Drosophila melanogaster: one gene and its partners. The protein of the gene in region 1 interacts with the protein of each later gene in a pairwise test. Each region holds a gene or a part of one and is shown on either strand. Other genes may lie near its edges. The genes, in order: CG3740, CG32450, CG43386 and Acp53Ea.

Evidence for each region.
Region 2: the proteins of CG3740 (region 1) and CG32450 interact in a two-hybrid assay, tested with the Drosophila melanogaster proteins (one large-scale study listed by BioGRID).
Region 3: the proteins of CG3740 (region 1) and CG43386 interact in a two-hybrid assay, tested with the Drosophila melanogaster proteins (one large-scale study listed by BioGRID).
Region 4: the proteins of CG3740 (region 1) and Acp53Ea interact in a two-hybrid assay, tested with the Drosophila melanogaster proteins (one large-scale study listed by BioGRID).

Annotation. Positions count from the first base shown.
Region 1 is NC_004354.4:1,667,906-1,672,788, reverse strand, and holds CG3740 (uncharacterized protein), read left to right. Parts: upstream 1-3,491; 5' UTR 3,492-3,779; coding exon 3,780-3,981; intron 3,982-4,000; exon of another isoform or gene 4,001-4,044; coding exon 4,045-4,265; 3' UTR 4,266-4,383; downstream 4,384-4,883. Other genes in the region: hfw (halfway), read right to left, coding at 33-425, 492-1,002, 1,060-1,973, 2,852-2,869; dor (deep orange), read right to left, coding at 4,419-4,883.
Region 2 is NT_037436.4:22,326,853-22,331,641, forward strand, and holds CG32450 (uncharacterized protein), read left to right. Parts: upstream 1-2,925; 5' UTR 2,926-3,041; coding exon 3,042-3,305; intron 3,306-3,364; coding exon 3,365-3,577; 3' UTR 3,578-3,805; downstream 3,806-4,789.
Region 3 is NC_004354.4:9,973,592-9,979,962, reverse strand, and holds the start of CG43386 (uncharacterized protein), read left to right. Parts: upstream 1-2,557; 5' UTR 2,558-2,804; intron 2,805-6,371. Other genes in the region: CG15252 (uncharacterized protein), read left to right, coding at 1-196, 345-464, 582-791, 846-914, 974-1,117, 1,184-1,243, 1,369-1,758.
Region 4 is NT_033778.4:16,748,869-16,753,074, forward strand, and holds Acp53Ea (accessory gland protein 53Ea), read right to left. Parts: upstream 1,468-4,206; 5' UTR 1,416-1,467; coding exon 1,374-1,415; intron 1,309-1,373; coding exon 988-1,308; 3' UTR 935-987; downstream 1-934. Other genes in the region: Acp53C14b (accessory gland protein 53C14b), read right to left, coding at 99-455, 512-553; Acp53C14c (accessory gland protein 53C14c), read right to left, coding at 1,935-2,267, 2,325-2,366. UniProt on the Drosophila melanogaster protein: Responsible for physiological and behavioral changes in mated female flies.

The DNA of each region.
Region 1 (4,883 bases):
ACCAACTGGCCATCTTACTCTCCACTCTGGCTCTACGATTCGCACAGCCAATCGCATGGCAACTTGGGCATTTTACTGGCCGGCCAGGGCAGATAGCCAGCCGTCTTGAAGACCCAATAGTCGTAGGACACCTTGGTAATAAGGGCGAGCAGCAGCAGGACCTCGGCGGCTATTAAATAGTATATGTAATCGGTCCAGTCTGGTGGGGACTGGCATAGTTTGGCCTCCTGCAGTTCGATGACTCTCTGGGGCATGTTGCGACAGCGTATCTCCATATAGTCGGGTATATCGGAGCTACGCTCCTTAAGCCAATTTTGCAGCGTCTTTGCCGAGTTGCAGTCGCACTGCAGCTTGTTGCCTGCCAGGTAAATACGACGGCCCAGGCCAGAGTCCATCAGGGCATTGTTGAGAAAGTACTCCGGAATCTATATCGTTGTAGAAAGATACAGTTTGTTTTAGGGATTGGTACATTAGTAGGTCAGAGCACTCACCTTGCTCAGCGAATTGTTTCGCATGTAGATGCGCTGAAAGGTTTCGATGAACTTGGTACCCTCGAACTCATAGATGGAGGATATCTGGTTGTTATCGGCCAAGAGACGGTTAATATTGTGGTAGGTGGGATTGGTATGGAAGTAATCGCCCAGGCTGGTTATCTTGTTGTTTGTGATATTGAGCATAAATGTGTTGTCCGGCAGTCTTTGGGGTAGCTCCACCAGGCCAAGATTGGAACAGTCTACGTGGCACTGGGGCTTCGACTGGTTGTCCTGTATGATCATAATATTCTCCAGCGTACAATTGCAGCTGCCGTAGTTCGGAATAACCGGACAATTAGTCACACACCGCTTTCTGTTCTCCAGCTGCTCCACGGACACCTTGTCCGTGGACTGAAACCAGGTGTGTGTGGCGTTATACTGACAGTAGGAGTGCTTCGGGTTCAGGAAATTAATAGATTCGGTGTATATTATCTCGTTTAGCGGAGTGCACAGCATGCGCATGTTGCCACTGAAAAGAATCGTTTGGTTAGGCCTCTTCCTTTTCTAAACATATGGCCTTACTCACCTGATATCCAGCGTAATGTTCTTGTTCTGGTTTCGGTGAGGCACCAGCGAGAGATTGTTGTTCGACATGCCGAAGAACTCCAGATGGGGCACGTCCTTCACCGCCCTCGAGTGGATCTCCGAGATGTTGTTGTTTGATATGTTTAGGCACTTAAGAGCCGAGAGCCGCGGAAAGGCGTTCACCAGTCGAGTGATATTGCCGTCCGTCACGGCAAGCGACTGCAGGGATCGGAATATTGGATTGGAGAGGTCCATGTCCTCCACAGTCATGTTGCGCACGTGCAGGTTGGTCCACTTGGATATGTTGCTGCAGCTTGAGATCATCGTCAGCTGCGATATGTTGCAGCAGTACCAGGAGTTTGGCCGCGTCGGGTGCTCCCTGCACTGGCACTGGCTGTTCCCCTGTCCTCCTCGGTTCTGGGCTTCCGACTGCGCGACTGTCGAGCCCTGGCCCTCGGAGGTTTCGGCTCGTCCGTCAAAGGTGTGGCCACACAGCTGCTCTTCTGCATAGAAGCAGTGCTTCAGATACTCGGGCTGTTCGGGAGCAGCCGGCGGAAGGGGTGCGGGCGAAGTGGTCGACGTGGTCGAGGTGGAGTGCGATGTGCTTGTGGATGTTGTGTCTGTCACAGATCCCGGATCGGACATGCTTTGCGTCTCGGCCAAACTTGATGCCGTCGTGGTTTCCCCAATGCCCACGTTATCAGTTGTTAGGATGGGAGCAGGTATTGCTGTTCCCTGCTCATCTTCCTTCAGCGGCGCATGGGGATGGGCATGGTGATGATGGCGAGCCTGTGGATGTGCGTGTGCATGTGGAGTAGACTCCTCGCCTAGTGCAGCCGGATCCGGTGTGTGTGCTATTTCTGGCCGCGCGCATGCGCCTGCTACAAGGAGCAGCAGGAGCAGGAGCCATGTGCCCTGCAACGACAACGACAATCAAAGGGCGCGTTAAAGCGAATCGAGTGGGGAAATGGGAAAAACGCCGTGTCGCACGTTGGACATACATATGCAAATATTTGCTACACCAGACGCGTTTGTTTGCAAATCGAATTAGACCGACGAGGGCTTGGCCTGGCTCGTCCTCCAATTGCCGTAATTAGGGTAAGTGAGGCACACCCTGTACGCATAAGTTGCTGGGCCTGCGGCTCTGGGAGTCGGGAGGGTCTTCGGTATCCAACTGGTTTCTAATTGTTTGCCCACTCGATTTAGCGTCTTGCGGGCCAACTGCCAACAACACTGCCATGCTAATTCGGCAATTAATTAACGAATCGTATGTGATAAAAGGGCAATAAAAAGATTAATTGTGTTAGGCAGCAATTGTGGGCGGGTCGGTGTCGGTTGGTGGCAAATTGTCGGCTTCGGCATGGAGTGGAAGTGGAAGGGGGCTATTTCCAGATCTTTGGCTGGTCAAAACAGCATAACAGTTTGGTATTACCATAGGCCAATAATAGGTTTGGTATGGAAAACATTTCCTTTTTGGCTTAAATGTTCCATAGCGTGTGAGGATACGAGGATTAACTAAAGATGGCCTCTGATTTCAAGGCAAATGCGCTTCTTTTCACAACTACAATATGAGAAATACCTATGCTGTATGAGTATAATAACTGGGTGTGGTATAAAATATAGAGCCATGGGTAGTATAACCTCACTAGCAGCACCCCTCCCTCGGAGCAATTTAGAGTGCTTTCGAGATTATAAACACAATATCAGTATCGGCATGCCCATGTCCATACCCCTACCCCTCCTGCTACAGGTACACCCATACACTAGCAGAGCTGCATGCGCATTGGACTTACGTGGGTGTACGCGAGCATGTCGCCTCCGAAATGAATTCCACTAGGTGCTCCCTGGCAGGTTTACTCCTCGACTAGGTGGCGCGGGAACGGAGCGGTCATCCACATCCGAGGAATCGCAATCATACGGAAGTGTTCACAATTTAAATGCTTTGCGCACATCCCAGTCCCAGCGGAGAGGAGCTACTTTCTGGGCGGTTCTGCAGGCTCGTTCGGTCCGCCAGGTGATCTGCCACAGATCCGTGCATGGGAAGAATCGGTCGGGTGTGATACGTAGGTGAAACACAAAAGTATCTCGACTCGAATTGATAAACTACGAACAAAACAAAATGCAAATGTTAAGTGCGCGCAGCGCAGCAGAGCACTCGCTGTTAAGTCTGATGTTAAATGCTCTGTTCGCCGCGGGCAATCGACTTATCGATACAGTGACATCGTTTGCACTGCGATTCGATAGTTGGCAAACGTAATCCGTTGAATCAATTTATATAATAAACACATATATATTTAATTTATTGTTCATCTTTAACTTAGCAACAGGACAGTAATAACCTATAGGATTAATATAAGAAATTTAATGTATGACCCATAACAGGAATGGGTTAACACATAAGGGTTAAGGCCATATATCGATATAAACGTCGATTGTGACCGCCGTTTGCGCATCTCTGAATCTGGCGCTCACAAGTTTAATCAAGTTGCTGTTTTTTAAGTCAAATATAAGCTTTTTAATAGTTCCCTTCAAGCGGATTCCGTGAAATTGTTTATGTTGTCGAGTAGCAAGTTGGAGAATTCAAGACCAACACTAAAAGGCAGGATACAAACGGAACGGGTGGCGTAATCGGAAACGTCATACTGCCGCACGGAACAAAGTCTAAACAGGAAATACTAGCATAGCGTTGCGAAATTCGGGCCAACTCCACGTAGCCTAAATATGCCCATAGATACGCGCGAGTTGATGGAGGCGATAGCCATCGTAGCGGACGAGCGCAACGTCCGCGTCGCCGTCAAGCAGTCCGGCAAGGGAGCGGCAATCTGCGCCGCCTGCTCCTTTGCGGGTGGCATGCTCCTGGGCCCCGTTGGGCTGGCGGTTGGCGGGGCCGCCGGCGGAATCGCCGCCTACAAGATGACAAGCGGTAAGCGGAGGAGAACTCCCGTACTCAGTCTCACTACATTTCCACTTCCCTCCTCCCGAACAGGCACATTCCGTCCGCTGGGCGAAGTCATCCTAAACGACCTGACGGACGCACAGCGAGAGCAGCTGGTGCAGCACGTAACCATGGCCGTGGCCGACATACATCCCACCGACGTGGTGATGCTGCTGCCGCTGATTGTCCAGAACGCCTCCATTCAGCAGGCTGTGCTTAACACTGTCATGTCATTCGTGACCAACGAGTTGCGCATGCAGATTGTGGACTGACCTGCTCTGCGGGCAAGTGGGCGATGGCCAGGTAACTGTAGAATTTGGACGGCTATCTCAGTCGAAACCTTTGTGATCAGTGTAGGTTTATTTATAATAATAAATACTTTATATGTACATAAATATTTGGGTCTGAACGACGGTGGTAGCGAACTACTCCCACTCGACATTCACCTGCTCCCAGTCGTCAACGAACGGCTGGTCGATGGTGCTGATTAGCAGCCCGCAGAATAGGCAATCCGCAGCAAGAATATCCTCGATCTCGGTTTTCAGTGCCGCCCTCTTCCGCTGCAGCTCCATCGCCTGCTGTTTGCTCAGGGCACCTGACTGCGGTTGCGCCTGCGTTTGCACCTCCGCCTCCAGTTGCTGCTTTAGAGTGCCGAGGCGCCGACATTGCTCCTTGGTGAGCAAGGGCACAACGTGCTTCTCCAGGCAATCGCTGTGGAACTTGTGGCCGCAGATGAAGATGAAAAAGGGCTTAACCAGCAGCATCATCTCGCAAATTTCGCAAGTATCCTGAGACTCAACGGTGAGGCTGTGCTGGCGCAATTGCTGCAACTCGGCGGTGACGCGATCGGTTTGCTCCGTAGTCTCGGCCATTTCACGCTGCAGCTCCTG
Region 2 (4,789 bases), on another chromosome or scaffold:
GTCAGTAAGGCATTGCAATGCCGAGCTGTCTATGTGTGTGTGTGCTGGCATTGCAATTTGCTTTTGTTTGGTTTAAAAAGCGCGTTAAATTTGATCGTTGTTGCCGGCGGCTTTGTTTGCGCTCTCATTTGCCGCTGAAAGTGCGAACGAGTTAAAGCACCATCTAACGCACAACGGCCACCCTTCATTATCTCGTATCTCAGGCCCATAAAGCCCCAATATCAGCCCTGATTTTCAATACTAGCACTCACCCGAGGGGACAGAGTCATAAAATTGCGTATACGTACCTAAAAGGAGACAAGAAAAGGTTGTTAATTTAGTAAGCAAGTCGGCAGGATGAGACGGAAGCGAGATACGTTTGGGAAGACGTCCGGTATACTGCCAGTGACAACGCCTAAGTGGGGCTTAAAAATTCAATAAAAAATCACTTAACATTCCATAAGAAGCTTTCAACGTTACACACACAGCCGTACAACCATAGGGAGAAAGTGGCGGAGCAAACGGAAGGGAAAGTGGCCTCAAATGTGCTGTCAAATCCTGCACACTGCGAGAGTGGCAAAACTGCAGGAAACTAAAGCAATTCCAAATGGAAAACTGCTGCAAATTAATCAAATGCCTTTGCAGTACGGAATGGAAAGAGCGAGAGGAAAACGGTCAAAGGACAGGACTGGCAAGCAAACACGAGAACGTCAGTCAGTCAGTCAGCCAGTCACAAAGACACAGGCGAGCGATAAAAGCCAAAGCCAAAGGCAAGCAACCCTTTTTCCGAATCGAAACCAAACCAACCCAGCCCAACCCTTCAATCTGCACACACACTAGGGTTGTATATACTTATATATCGTAACGCATTAAATCGATAACACGATTTTTCAGCACGCACACAGCTCCCCGTCGAACCCGTACTGAAATCCAAAACAACTGGTTGACTGTGAGTTAAATTGTCAGTTTCATTACGTGGCAGCTTTCATAGCGTCTTTTGCTGTCTGCTTCCTGCCCCGGAACTCCGGAATGTTCCTTGCTTTTTTAAAGCCAAATCACTACGACTGCGCGTGAGCGTTCCCCGTCACTTCGCTTGCAGTGCGACAAGCGATTTTTCAAGTTGCCGCTTCATCGTTCTGCGGAGCTGCTTCTCCGTCTTTTTTGTTCGGTGCGGTTTCGGGGCTCTGCGTTCTGGGCGCCAACAAGTTCAATTTTCGGAAAAGGGCAGGAGCGCATCGAGAGCGGAGAAGCGAAGCCCCTGGGACTCCTCGAAACCGGCGAGTCGTGCGTTCTTGAGAACTTAAGGACCTCGACGCTGGTGAGTTCAACAAACATTTAACTGATTGCCTGGCGTGTCTTCGTGCCCAGCCCTGTCTGATTTTTTGATTTGCTATACACCTGGGAGCGGGACGGCCCTTGGCCACGAAAATGTTTAGCTTATTTGTTAGCGCTGCAAAATAAATTGTGTGTGCGTGCGGTAATTGTAAATTGCGTACGGGCAGACAGACAGTGGCGATTGTCAGTGGAGCAGCCGAGTTATTGGCACCTCTCCAACGTACGGGTATGCCATGAATTTTTGATCGAACAATGAGTGGATCGAGGGTTGCCACCTTTTGCCAATACGATGAGGTTGGCGAAGGCAGCAACAAACTAGGCTTTTGATTGCAAGTCCCCATCCCCATCCAATCCAATCTCGTTCCGTACGCCCCCAGCTAAGCCAATTCAATCAGGGGACCTGCCTGCAACCCTCTGAGTAATCCACTTTTGGCCTCCCGAAAGTGCGCAACAATTTCTTTTAAACTTCCTGCTGACACAAATCAGACCGAGGCCATAACTCAAACTATCTCCACCTCCGCTCGGCTGAATCAATAACCATAAACCGAAGCTCCTTATGCTCACGTGGAGGAGCCGCATAAAAAGTATGCCACATGCTCGGGGAAATCACTAAATTCAGCCTGAGGCAACGTGTACCTCATCATTTATGTGTGGCAGGGGCAAGAAACGGCGAGCCCGAAAACCAAGCAATGCCCACCTTCATAACTGAGAGTGCTTATCACGCCCACTTCCCCTTGATCCCCTCCTGCCGATACCGCCAACTACCGAGTACCGACTACCGTCTACATGTGACATTTGCATGCTTACTTAAACAGCAAAAAGCAGCATCTACGACAGCCACGTCGAGCTTGGCACGTCTGCGTCAACTATACTTTACATTTCGGCCAGACTGGTTTCGGTTTCGGTCTTGGTCTGAACCAGATGCTCAGTTGGAGTCTAGGACCCAGAAGGCCAAAAGAAGGAGAAGGCCCACTAGTGTTGTCAGTAGGCAGTCACAATCCTGTCGACGTCACATCAGCACACGTGTGTAGTAAAAATCAGACGTGTGGGCGCTGCTCGAGGAGCACACAGGCCTTGGCAATGTCGAGGCGCTCTAGTTGCCGCAGTCGATTCGAGTCGAGTCCTGCCTAGTCCTGCCTCCATGTACTTTGATTGCTTGCACGTTACCCGTACAATTTTCGGTATGATGGCGGCAACATTTCATGATTTCTTGTACGTGTTTCTGGCAGTAAGCACGCGTCCTTTCCTCTGCCGCGCACACCGTGTCCTGCGACCCTGGTCCTTCGCCCCACATCTATTCCGGCTCATGGGTTCCGGGGTAATGTATGCAAGCACTTTTTGTATATGACGCCGTTGCGCTTTGGGTCCTCGTCGTGTTTGTTTGCCTGGTGACTGATGATGGTTTGGCTGGTTTTGCTCAGCTCCCACTTTAGCTTCATTTTCCACCGCCACTTCTGTCGCTAGTTTTTCACCAGCAGCATCGATTCGAGCGTATGTCCTGCTAATAAATCAATGACGCCATTCCGGGGCTCCCAAGTAGGCGATGATTTATGTCTGGCTAAAGGGTTTTCACGAATACCGGGCCTAATTGAGTTGCCCTTGATGGATCAGTCATTTTTAGAGTGCTGCTTGTCCAGTACCAAGTAGAAGTCGCTTTAGAACAATCTAAAATTCGACGTTGCTGTTTTTTTTGGTTTAACATTCTCTATATACATTTTTTTAAAAATATGGATATAACGGTACCGCCGCCGGACTCGCACTGGTCGTTGAGGTTTGTGGACATCGTGAAGCCTTTTCCAAAACATACTTTGGCCAATGCCACTTATAAGATCATTCGCTTCTTTTACCCACCCTTTGCCCTGGAAACCGTCGATGTCACCCACGTGGTCAGCGATCCCGAGCTGAATAGTTTAAACGTGGGGCTGTTTGTGGTAGTTCCCTTAATTCTGGCCTGCATCGGCTATGGGGTGTACAAATATGTGCGGAGTATGGTAAGTTTTGTGCGTGGACCTATAGCCCCTGACCTCTGACCAAGTCTGACCTCGAGCAGCATACAGTGGCTAAACGGACACCATTAAAATTGTACGAGCTTGAACAGCGTATGAAAGACAAGTACGGTCCGGAATACAAGCAGGGAATCTGGAAGCGAAAGGACATTTCTGACCCCCTCCTATTAACCACTGATCCATCCGAACCAAAAGCAAAGAGATGTGAAAGCAGCAATGCCCACTGGCTGCGCAAAACCGATAGATCCGATGATTAATTAAATCAACACTCAGTTGGATCCCCACTCGGATATGACTGGGGATCTTAAAATCGAGAATCGAGGAAAGTACCTTCTCGAATCCAACCAGGCTTTGTACCCTTCTAAGCAACAAAATCGATATGATCCTTCAATTCCGTTTAATGATTGAGACCTTTTTTGCGACTGGAAAAGTGTCAGCTTTGGGCTTTCTCGTTTGGCGCAATAAAATGAAGTGATTGTTTGGTTTTTTATGTTGCAAAAACACACTGAACCCCGCAGAGCGAAGGGAAAGACATTGCACATAGGATTAGGTGGGGGTTTTGGGGCCAAGTCCTGGGTAATCATTTGGCAGCGCATGTGTCGGATTATTTTGTTGGTTTGCGTTTTATTTAAATTTGCTTCTTTCGGCTGCCTTTTTGCTCGTGCGGTGGTTGTTTGTCGCCCGAAAATCTGACAGCAGCTGAAAAGCATGCTAAGCTTCGTGCTTTCTTTTTGCTCTGGCTCAAAGCAAATTAATGATTTGCCATCAAGCAAATAAATCAAAAGCTTCAAAGCAGATCTCTGGCTTAGCGCGCTGCGCTGTGGTGCGGTGCGATGGGATCCTGGGGCTGGCTGCGATTTAAGTCCCTTTCATCTCGGCCTGCTCCACTTTAAAGCCAGTCCCGAATGCATAGTTTTATTTCGCAGCTATTTCCACTCAACTAAGCGCATGCATTGATGATATATCCCCTTCCGTGTGACACCCCTTCCCATTGACATGACATAAATAACCGTGTGAGGCTGTTATAATTTATAATCCTTGCTCTGGACCCCCAGCAACAATAATACCAACAACAACAACAACAACAACAACAACAACAACAGCAACAACAACAACAACAACAGCAGCAGCAGCAACAAGAACAAACACAGCAACAGGAGCAGGAGTAACAAGAGCAGAAATAATATGGGAATGCCAGTGCAAATATTTTTGCTTGCTCCTCTCGGTTTCTATGATCCGAGTTTCCTTTTACTTTTTTGTCCTATTTTATTTATTCGAAACCTGTGCCTCTCCCAGGTTGGCAGCACAAATATTTTGTTGGTTCCCTTCCGAGCCACCCAGCCACTATTTCACACCCGCTCGGCTGCATTTAGTTTATGTGTGTGTTACCTTTTTTCTCGGTAAAATGAGGTCAAAAGTTTATTGGCTAATAAATGTGTGCGCAAGTGGGTGGGGTGTTGTTTTCGCAG
Region 3 (6,371 bases), 8.3 Mb from region 1:
CAAGGCTCTGCAGCATTTATTGGAACAGGCTGGAGAGGATGGAGTGTTGGCCAAGGCCAAGCAAAAGGTGATCCACAAAAGGCAAATCAAGAATGGAACAAAGCAGAGGAAACAGGAGAATCGGAACAACCAGGAGGAGGCGGAGCAACGACAAATTCCGGAGGAAATGAGGATTATAAAGTCCATACTTTCTGAGGTAGTACTAGAGAAATTATTCACAATTCCTTAAAAATCACATACATTAATTCAAAAGTGGTTTTTGAATATAAAAATGATTAACCTTTTAAGTTTAAGCTAAAAATGCATGTCTTTAGTATGGAACGCTTGATTTTTTTTAACGCCAGGCTCATGACTTGCGCTTCCAGGAAGATTTCCTGGAAAATATGTTGGATCAGCCGCCGCCGAGGCGAATTAAAATAGAACCCAACTCTTCGGAACTCGATGATCTGGATATAAACGTAAAGGTGAGCAAAGGACCCATGTTTAACCCTTTGTGACTAACCCAATGACCGCTAATTGATGATGACCTAACCCAACATTGACTTGGTTCACCTAACCCTTTGTCCCACGGCCTTTTGAAGTCGCCAAATGTTACAGCCAAAGGTAAACCGAAAATGAAAGCAAAGCCGGAGAAACAGGTGGAGGCGGAGGGCACAGGCTCCTCGTCGGAATTGGCCACGGATGACAACGATGACCTGGGCGATGGGGATGAGCCCGGTGATGGCGGAGACGGAGCAGGTGGTGGAGGAGGCGGTGGCGGTCTGGTTGGCATCATTAGCAGCCTGAGCGGTGTAAGTGGAAGGCTAAGAAACCCATAAATATTTATTTAAAATGGATTTATTTAGGGTGAAGGTGGTTCCGATGTGGGTGCCTTAATTGGTGCCCTTACCGGTGTGATATCCACTTTATTTGGAGTAAGTATTGAAGTTTTCCAATCAATCAAGGGTATTTAAATAGAAAAACTATCTTTTAGCCTGGAGGCCTAGATGTGCAAGGTCTGATTCAAACGGGAACCTCGCTGATCTCTGGTCTTCTGGGCGGGAATAAGAACTTTGGCCTCGTGTTGGGACAATATGTGGGCACTGCTTTGGATGGTCTCTCTGGAGGTGGTGGAGCGGTGGGTTCCTCAAACCTATTTTCATGAATTTCCAGTCATTTTACTTGCATATATTATTTTTTCCAGATTAACAATGGCCAGTTTATAGGCAACTTCTTGGGCACTGTGCTGGCCGCATTGAGCGCTGTATTTATATATTTTGCTTATATATATATTTACCTTCTAGATCCCAACCTCATAACTGTGTTACTAACCCCTGAACGTCATTTATTTAGCGAGTGCAATAAACAACATTCTACAATCTTTAACAGGATCCCGAGGAGGAGGGCCCACCGCAACCATTGACCTTCACCAAGAACCTGATCACCAGCTTCCTGGAGGCAAAGTTTCGACCAATTTCAGAGGACGGCTCAGAGGAGCGACACGGAAGTGCGGAGTTGCCACGCCCGCGAAAGAAGAAGGAGGGCGGTGGATGGGCAGCTGCGGCGGCAAATAACTTTGATTCTGGAGGATTTGTGAAGCAAGTGGCCTCCCATCTGGTGAGCAATGCCCTTGGATTGATTTTGAATGCCGGTCTGGGAGCCGCTGGAGGAGCTTCGAGTGCAGCCAAGAATATTTTCGCCAGCAGCAGCATGGGTCATCATGCCAAGCCGGCAGATCACCATAGATCTTGGAACCCCTACCATAATGAGCCATTCTAGCCAGCTTAGTCATCACATAATCATAGTTACGTTAATCGTTTGTGTTAAACCCATTTTTTTTTTGCTAGTTCGTAACCGAAATAAATAAAGAAGTGAGGAGAAAGACTTGTTGGTCACTTGGGCAGCTAAGAAAGCGTAAAAGAGGGGCTCTAAATCAAGTGGCGTAACAGCTTGGACAGCGGCTGATGCAAGAGATCCGATGGAATTCAGTGGGAGCCACTGCAATGAACCACTCCCCCAAGGATGCGGTGGGGCAAATCACTGGATGGAAACGCAAAAAGCGAAAGCTCGCAATGAGCGGAAGTAAAAACTAAGTAAAGGTTGAGGGGTGAAATAGCTTGTTTGGGTTCATTTCCTCAAACTAAAGTTCAGTGGAAGGTAGAACAGGGGAATGAACTACGGATTTCGGCTCAGGAGTTTCGCTTCAAAAATTAGTTTTAAATACATTTGGCAATACCTTAATTAACTAATATTTAAATTAAAAAGATAGAATTAATATATATTTTGTAACCCAATAGCCTAATAGCGAATATTTTTGGATCTTCTTGACCCAAGAGTTTTCCCTGAACCTTTCTCCGTGGGCCAACTACTTGGTAGCTTGCCCAATGGAGCGGGCATTGTGTCACTTTCTACTGATTACAGGTTTCATTAAAATGCTTTTACTTGTTTACTTCTGGTGCTTTCTCTGACTCTCTCGCTCTCTCTCTTCCGCCTGCTCTCTCTCTCTCTCTCTCATTCTGTCTTTCTCTTTTTTTTTTTTGAAGTGGGCTGAATATTTTTTTAGCGGCGAGTTTCAGTTTTCAGTTATGCGTGAATCTTTCACAAGACAAAGTGACATTTTGCGGGCCGTTTAGTTGTCGCGTTTTTAATTTGAAAAACTTCAGGTTGTGTTTATTGTTTTGTGTTTTTCTTGTGCGCTCAGTGTTTGTGCTGGTTTATTTGCATTTTGAAATTGTTTATGAACTCAATTATATATTTGGGTGCTTCGGAGAGTTCGCATTGCAATTAAGTTTGGCAAGCCGCATTTTTATTTTATTATATTTCGGGTGAGTATGTATATAAGGCGGCTGAAAGCCGAAAAAAAGGGAAATAAGCGACAATCCCAGCTCAAAATGTATGTCAAAACGAAAGACTTAGGCAACGAACTTGCTAACTGGGCTAAGCCTCAACTGAAAATGCTGGCATAGGTCAGGTCTGTTCCAAAAACAAACAACACTACGGGGGGCTATTAATGGAGGGGGTTATTGAAGAGGGGGGGGGCGCTATTGGTTAGCGTTCGTCCATTAATCGCTTTGGCTACCGAAATTTGGCAACAGCGCCGACGTCAACAATGCAAAAGTGAAGATTCAAATGCGTTAATTGCTTCATAAATCAATTAACAAGAGCCTAACCAATCGTAAGCCGAAAAAAGGGAGAGTTTTATTGTTCTCCTATGACTTACGCTTTGTGTTCAGTGTCATATTTGATTGTTGATTATATTAAGCTATATGGATGGTGTCCAACATTTACTGGTTGACGTGCTACTTAAAATGCTATATAAATTACAAATTTTACATACATTTTAAAAAGGTTTTTTGTTTTTATAGGGAAGTGATTTGAGGGAACTTTCCTTTTTACTCTATTTCATTCGCATTTCATTTGAATTTTCGGGGTTAACTACCTGGTAACCTACTACTCATATTCGGCCTGACCCCTGGTCGCTGTCATGATTGAGGATGAACCAGAGTCAGAGCTAAAAAGACACTCAAAAATTAAAAAAAAAAACAAAAAAAATCACCAACTTGTCTGGGCCATGCAAGAGTGGCCTGGCCCAAAGAAACCGGTAACGGTCTCAAGGTCGTTCGTCGAATCGATGGCTCTGGCCAGATAAGCCTTAGCCCAAGATACAGCAGCCAGTTTAGCCATCAACGCGCTTTGGGCCAAAAGCTAAAAGCTATCAGCCATCAACTCTAAGGCATAAGCAATAACAAAACTCAGTGATGATAGCTGGGCCAAAATAAAAAATAAATAAATAAAATCGAAAACGAGGAAAAAAGCGAAAGTGAACGCCATGAAAGTGGAGCAGTCGAGCTGGAAATCCGCCGAAGGCAAACCGGCGGGGGGGGGGGGGTTGCGTCTCTTCATAAACAAAAAGATATATATGCAGGTGTCATATCTAAGTCGGTCAATAAGTTTATTGACCAGGCGACGCTCCAAATTGTGCGGTTGTTTCGGGAGAGTTATGCAAATCGATTGTGGCAACCCGATATCGAAAAGCGTAGAAACTTATGGCCGTTAAACAATGCACCCTTTTATATTTTTCGGGCCGATTAATATGCAAATCTCGAAATTTCTTATCCACCACTCGATATGTTGTGGCTTTATGTTTCAATTATGAGCGTTAAAGTCCGTATCGCAGATCTTGTATTATACGAATTTTCACACATTTTTTATGATGATATTTTTCCTGGGCAGTAAATTATAAGTTGATGCGGGTCTGGGCGAATGACTGTTTATGTTATTACCGGAGTGTTTTTGCCTATTATAAAATATGTTTAATACTCTTGAGTTTTATTTGCTTGGCAATTTCATAAGCCTTTGGCATTTTCGTTTAGCTTAGAAGTGATTTCCAATTTACGCCTCATTTAACAGCACTAAGTTCTGCACGGCAATTAAGCAAAGTGATCAGATTTGAAATGCCTTTCAAAATATCTAATGCCAAAATGATATTATTACGGGGCGACCTTCGCCGGCCGCCAGTGGCGAGATTTATTAATACTATAATTACAATAATGGCTGAACAAACAAATAAACGCTACATGACAGCAGAATCTGAATCTCCGGCAACCTTTGCGCAAAATCAAACGAATCATTTTTGCCTGGCCAAGAACAAAGTTCGTTTGTCCGATTCTAATACTAATTCTCAGACTGAGTTTTCAGTGAATGGTGGTCAGTTATTTAGTCTGTCGGCAACGCCTTTTCCAATTAAATTCGACCCGGCTATTGGGTACAAAGCAAAAGCACTCGATGCGAAAGATTGGCTTACAAACGGTCTTAATATAAACCGAATTAACTTTATTTTTCCATTAGAGTATTACACATGTGGTGCAAATCTTCGTGGGATTTGCTAAGTTAATTGCAACTTTTTAGAGATTGTCTACACACAACAACTAAAAGTCATTTGAACGTATCTCTTAAAACAAAAATATCAATTCTTTGGCAAGACGTTCTATTGCTTAGTGATTGGTTTTAAAGATATATGGTACCTCTTTTTTTTATATCTTGCCTATACCTGGCACATATTTATTTTGGCATATTTTAGATATTTATTAATAAGTAATCCCAGTCTTAAAAACATTTCCTTGGTCAAATGTCAAATGTACTGGCCGTAAAACACTTGCGCAAAGCCATCAGCAGTTCATTAGAGGCCCATTGCTGCGGCGGAGTTGAATACATTAGATGGAAATGGATGCGGAATCGAGTGCTGGCTTCTCCTCCATCTGGTTAACGAGCCGCACTCTCGGTCCAAATGAATTGGTTAATGGGTAATGGTTATGACCGTCTTCCCAACTTGCGGCGTGTAAACGGTTACTCGTTAAGCAAGGGGGTGCCCAATAGACCTGTTACCCGTTTCACTATATCTATTTTCCATTTTAATTTTATTATTAATTTTTTTTTCTCTGTTTTTCCTGCGTGCACTTAGCGGAGTCATTGTGGCCAGAACAGCGATGAGCAGGTGACATTAATGCCATGGCCCAAAACTGAGCAAAACCACACAAAAAAAAAAGAAAGAAAAAATAGCAGCCAGCGCATAATGCATAATGACAACCGTTGCATAACCCCCCCGCCAGTTGGGCAATGCCAAATTATGCCCCGACATGTTGGCGAAGGGTATTATGCTATATGCTATATGGCGTATGCTATATAGCCATTTCCAGAGAACAAGTTGCCACTGGTTAGTACGGATTTAATGCGTCTGCCCCACTATTTCGGCCCCTGACATTTTCGACGCGACAACTAAAGTTTAGAAACACAAAAAAAAAAAAAAAAAAACACAACACAAACTGACAATTGTAACCAAAAGGCGAAACTGGAAATGCAATGAAGATCTGGTTGTAGTGAATAAAGTCACTAGGGTTCAGGGGGCAAGGATTTGGGGCGCTTTTGGGGTCTTGGCCAGGCCAAAACGGCATGTTTTCTGCCAGATTGCTTTGAATAAAAACCAAGACACATAGCGCCTGTCTTTTTGCTAACATTTTTTTTTCTGGTTTTCTGTTGTCGGTTTTCTGTCATAAACATTATGACACGCGCTGCAACGCTGATGGACAGTTTGACAGATTGACTCACTGACAAACTGACGAAGTGGCGGGGCTGGCCAGCAATTATAGCGTTCTAATTGAGGCGCCTCAACGGCAACAAGCTGCAATTGAATTTTCATGGATAATTTGCTAATTGAGCTGCCAAATTAGGCAGAACAACTGGCCGGATCTTTTGACATGCAGATCTCTAGTGATTGTTATTTAATTGAAAACATGAAAGCCACACAAAAGCTTTAGGTAAATGAAGTATTTTAAATATAATTATACTTCTTTAAATATACATATATACATAATACAATGCACTTATTGTAGGCT
Region 4 (4,206 bases), on another chromosome or scaffold:
TTGTAAAATTATACTTAATAAGAAATACATTTTTGTTGCTGACATTTGAGACCCCATATTGCTCTCGATTTATTTATGTAATGTGCACACTTTTCTTTTTAAATGATATAATCTTCTTCGTCCAAGCAACCTAATCCCGATATCTGCTCGGCAAATGGTTTGATTGTGGCAGCCAACTTGTTCAGTAGACCGTGCAGACATTTGGGTTCGTCAAAGACAAGTTTCTTGAAGAATTCATAGGATACCTTTAGGTACCAGGTAATCTTTCTGTCTTTGCCGTTTGCCGGTTCCAAAGTTACGTATCCGGAGCATTGTTTCAACTCATATACGGTCGGGACGATTTTATCGGCCAGGCTGGTCAGTGTTTCGATGGCCACCTGAGTACACTTGCCCAGCCTTCCCCAGCTTTCACTTATAGTGGCCTGGGCCTCCGTCTCCCGGGGAATGAGGCAGACCTATGGAGAATGGTAAGTATATTTAAAAAGTAATTAAGTGAGCCAAATGTACTCACAGCCAAAATACTGAGCAGAAATATGGACTTGATCACGCTCATTCTCCTGTTTTAAGTCGCGATTATGACCAGAAAAAACTTAGAATATTTATGAAAGGGCTGTCCTATTTATAGGATTACAAGCTAATTTTAATTTCATCCACCTAAGCAGTGCTAAAAAAATTGGTTACAGTTAAAAACCATAATAAATTTTGCGCCTAATACATGTCAATTCAATTTTCAAATGCAATACAACAGAATAATTTGTCTCGCATATAAAGTATTTCAGCCGATTGAATCCAAACCAAAATGTGTTTTTGGGTTTCGGTAATATCATAATATAAATAAAAAATTTGAGAAAAAAACCGCACTTAACTTATATCATGATTAATTTGGAAGGTCTATTAGGCATTACCCTCCTTTAAAAAATATACATTTTTGATTGCTGTGCTTTATTAATGCTCAGAAATTTATTTTATTATGGCCAAAATAGTGATTTATTCACCCAAGCATTTGTTGGTCTCAAGCGATTTTACATAAGGCCTCAGTAGTCTCACTGATTCCTTGAGTGGCACAATCAGACACTGAGTCTTGTCAAGCGCACCTCGCTTAACAAGCTCATAGTACAACTTAAGTTTTGAAAGGTAACTATTTCCAATATCGGTTGGTGGATTGAAGTCAATGCAGTTCAGTAAATTGCGAACAGTTGGGATTGTTTCTCTCAGCAGACTGGCAAGCGCTTTAGTACCAATTCTATTGCATGCCAACCAATTCTCCCATATTGGATTTTGCGCCTCCGTTTGGGCCACAAATACGAGCTGTTAAGTGAAGTTTATCTATTGTTATTGTGCCTAAAAAGATCATATTTAAATAATGTACTTACAGCCAGTAAGCTGAACACTAGTGTAACCTTTATCAGTTTCATTGGAAGCCTTATCTGTGTGCTTTCGACTAAACGGCTGAAGATCAAACTTTCGGAGCCCCTGTGTTTTATGCCCTATTTATAGGCCCCAGGATAATCGAATCAGCACGGTCTATTAGAAGCTTTAAAAACAGATTTTACACTTCAAAGTGTGTGAGCAGTTTATGGATTTTGTTGCTATTGTTAATCGTTTTCGCATGTTCATTAACATTTTATATAATAACATTATACAAAAGGTTACAAAAAGAAGGCATATAGTTGAAACTGAATTCAAATTGAATTCGTAATTAATTCCAGACCCGCAAAAAGAATTTTTAAGCTTGTGCTTTCTATTTCGCTGTCCTTTTAATAACAACTATAATTATCTAGATTTTATTGCCGAATATAATCATATAATCTCGCCAAATTCATTGTATTCCTGTGATTCAAGCAACTCATTTAAATACTGAAAATATGTCTATATCTAAGGCTAAATTAAGAATTTAAAAACCAAATAAAGTGTTTGCATATGTATATATTGCTTTAGCTGAGCCCTGGTAGGCACTTGCCACTAATAAGTTTGTCAAGGTGTGGCGACACAGCGTCGTAGCCTTCTTTCAATGAGATCAATAGACATCTTTGGTTGTTCACGACCGTTTGCAGATATTGATAGCCCAAGAGGGCAAGTGCGGTAATATCAAGGTCCTTAGTCTTAATGGCTCGAAAGTCAGCACATTTTGCCAATTTTTTTACACATGGTATCGCCCTCACGAGCAACGTTGTGGCTACTTTCAATCCCGATTCTGTGCACTCCGCCAGCTTATTAAGATCTACTCTTAAGGACTCCACTTCGTTTGGCAGCAAGGATCCCAGCAGCTTTACAATTTAAAAATCGTAGTCAGTAAAAAGTTTTGAGCAAATATTAAAACTCACAAGCAAGCTGAAGGCGATGTAAAAGACTTGTTTGGACTTCATGGCCGAAAGACTTCAGTGAACACAGAGGTTCCAGACGTAAACTAAACGCCACTTATAGTGTTTCTGAGTTGCAGAATGTAAATGGTTTAACTACGCTCATTTGCGACATAAAAATGCTGTAAAATATCAAATTAATGTTTCAGTCCGCTTCACAAATCATAGATATCGAGTCAATATAAGCCACATTTTCAGTAATCAGCTCTATCTTACCTTACCTTTCTTCGTATAGCCTAATCAATATAAAGCAACCCGATAGTTTACAGATTTTATTTAAAGCCGTTTTATTTTATATTTCTTTAATAGTGATACGCCCTGGCAAATATCAATTTGTTTTGGATTATACATACACATAGCATAGGTTTTCCCTCATTTTCCACGCGTTGGTTCTGCTCTTCTAATTTTCATCTGTCATTGGAAACGGTTGCCAGGCAATCATCTCTTACATACATTGATATATAGCCGATGTACATATTTAAATCGATTTTGAAATGTATTGTACCATATACGCATATATAAGTTGAGTTTCTTGCTCGTTAACTCGCTTCGCTAATATATAGCTCTATATTTTTGGTGTGTGCAATTCTTTTGTTGGTAAATTCAAACTGGGCCAAAATAGGTTATTACATACATAGATATCATATAATATGCTTGTAAAATGATTATTGTAATTACAATTCTCTAATATGTTACAATTGGAAATTAATTCAATAGTTTAACAAATGTTTACATTTTGCTACAATTAACTCAAAACCCAAAACGCCGACTCAGTTCCGAAACGATTTCTAAAAGAATACGTATTCCTCGATCCAGCAACGATCGCTTAACGTTCCGTGTCCATTTTTGCGACACAAACGAAAGCGATCCCTTCAACAACTTTGGGAGCTTCGAGGCTTGTGATCCGGGCACAAGTGAAGCTCCAATTGATCCATTAACCTGACCTAAGCTCGTGCATCAACCGATGGCGAAACGCAAATTAAATTCAAAGTTCTTTTCGCAAGCAAAGCAAAATGTCGGTTTCATTTTCAGTTGGGAAATATACAGGTGGCCATTGCGTACTAGTTTAAGACTCTTATCAAAACTACAATTGGTTTGTTCCGTAACGTGTTGCTTGAAGCTTTAGCAGGTGGTTCCGAGAGGGAGCATTTTAGAAGCGAAACTGTTTGGTATTTTTGTGGGGAGTCTGTGGGGGGAGAAGCCTTAAAAGCCGTCAACAGTTGACAATGTGGGGCAGCTGAGTTATAGCAGCGCCGATTTCATGGTTCGTAACTCTGGTGTGTAAAATAGTTTCATTCGCATATAGTTCTGTTTTGCTTGTATATATATATAGATCTAACAATAATCGTTACCTTTATAGAGATTTCGCAATTCTGCTGAGCTTATACCTCACGTCTCCTATATCCTATATACTGTACGGTCTTTCTTTAACACACACACACATATTTTTGGTATCATAATTTTCTCTGGCGTTTACCTGCTCTTTTTAAGTTAAACAATACAAGTACATGAAAATTTGTGTATAAACAGCAAATATATAGGGTTTTATACATTAATTCATTACATATAGTTCCTCATTTATATATATGTCTGTATTTTGCTTTAGTTTGCTCCATTAAAATGCATATACGTGTGTGTTTGTTTGCATTACAAGCTTTACATATTTGTCGCATACTTGAGAAAAAATACATAGTCTAACTGATCAACATAATATCACGTGGGAACTGAAACTAAATGGTCCGTTAACTAATACCAAATATTTATACAATCGAATCAAACGAAGGCTATTTACAAAATTGTCCAATAAAACTAATCGAAGGGGATTCTAAAAAGTAGGCTATCGTAT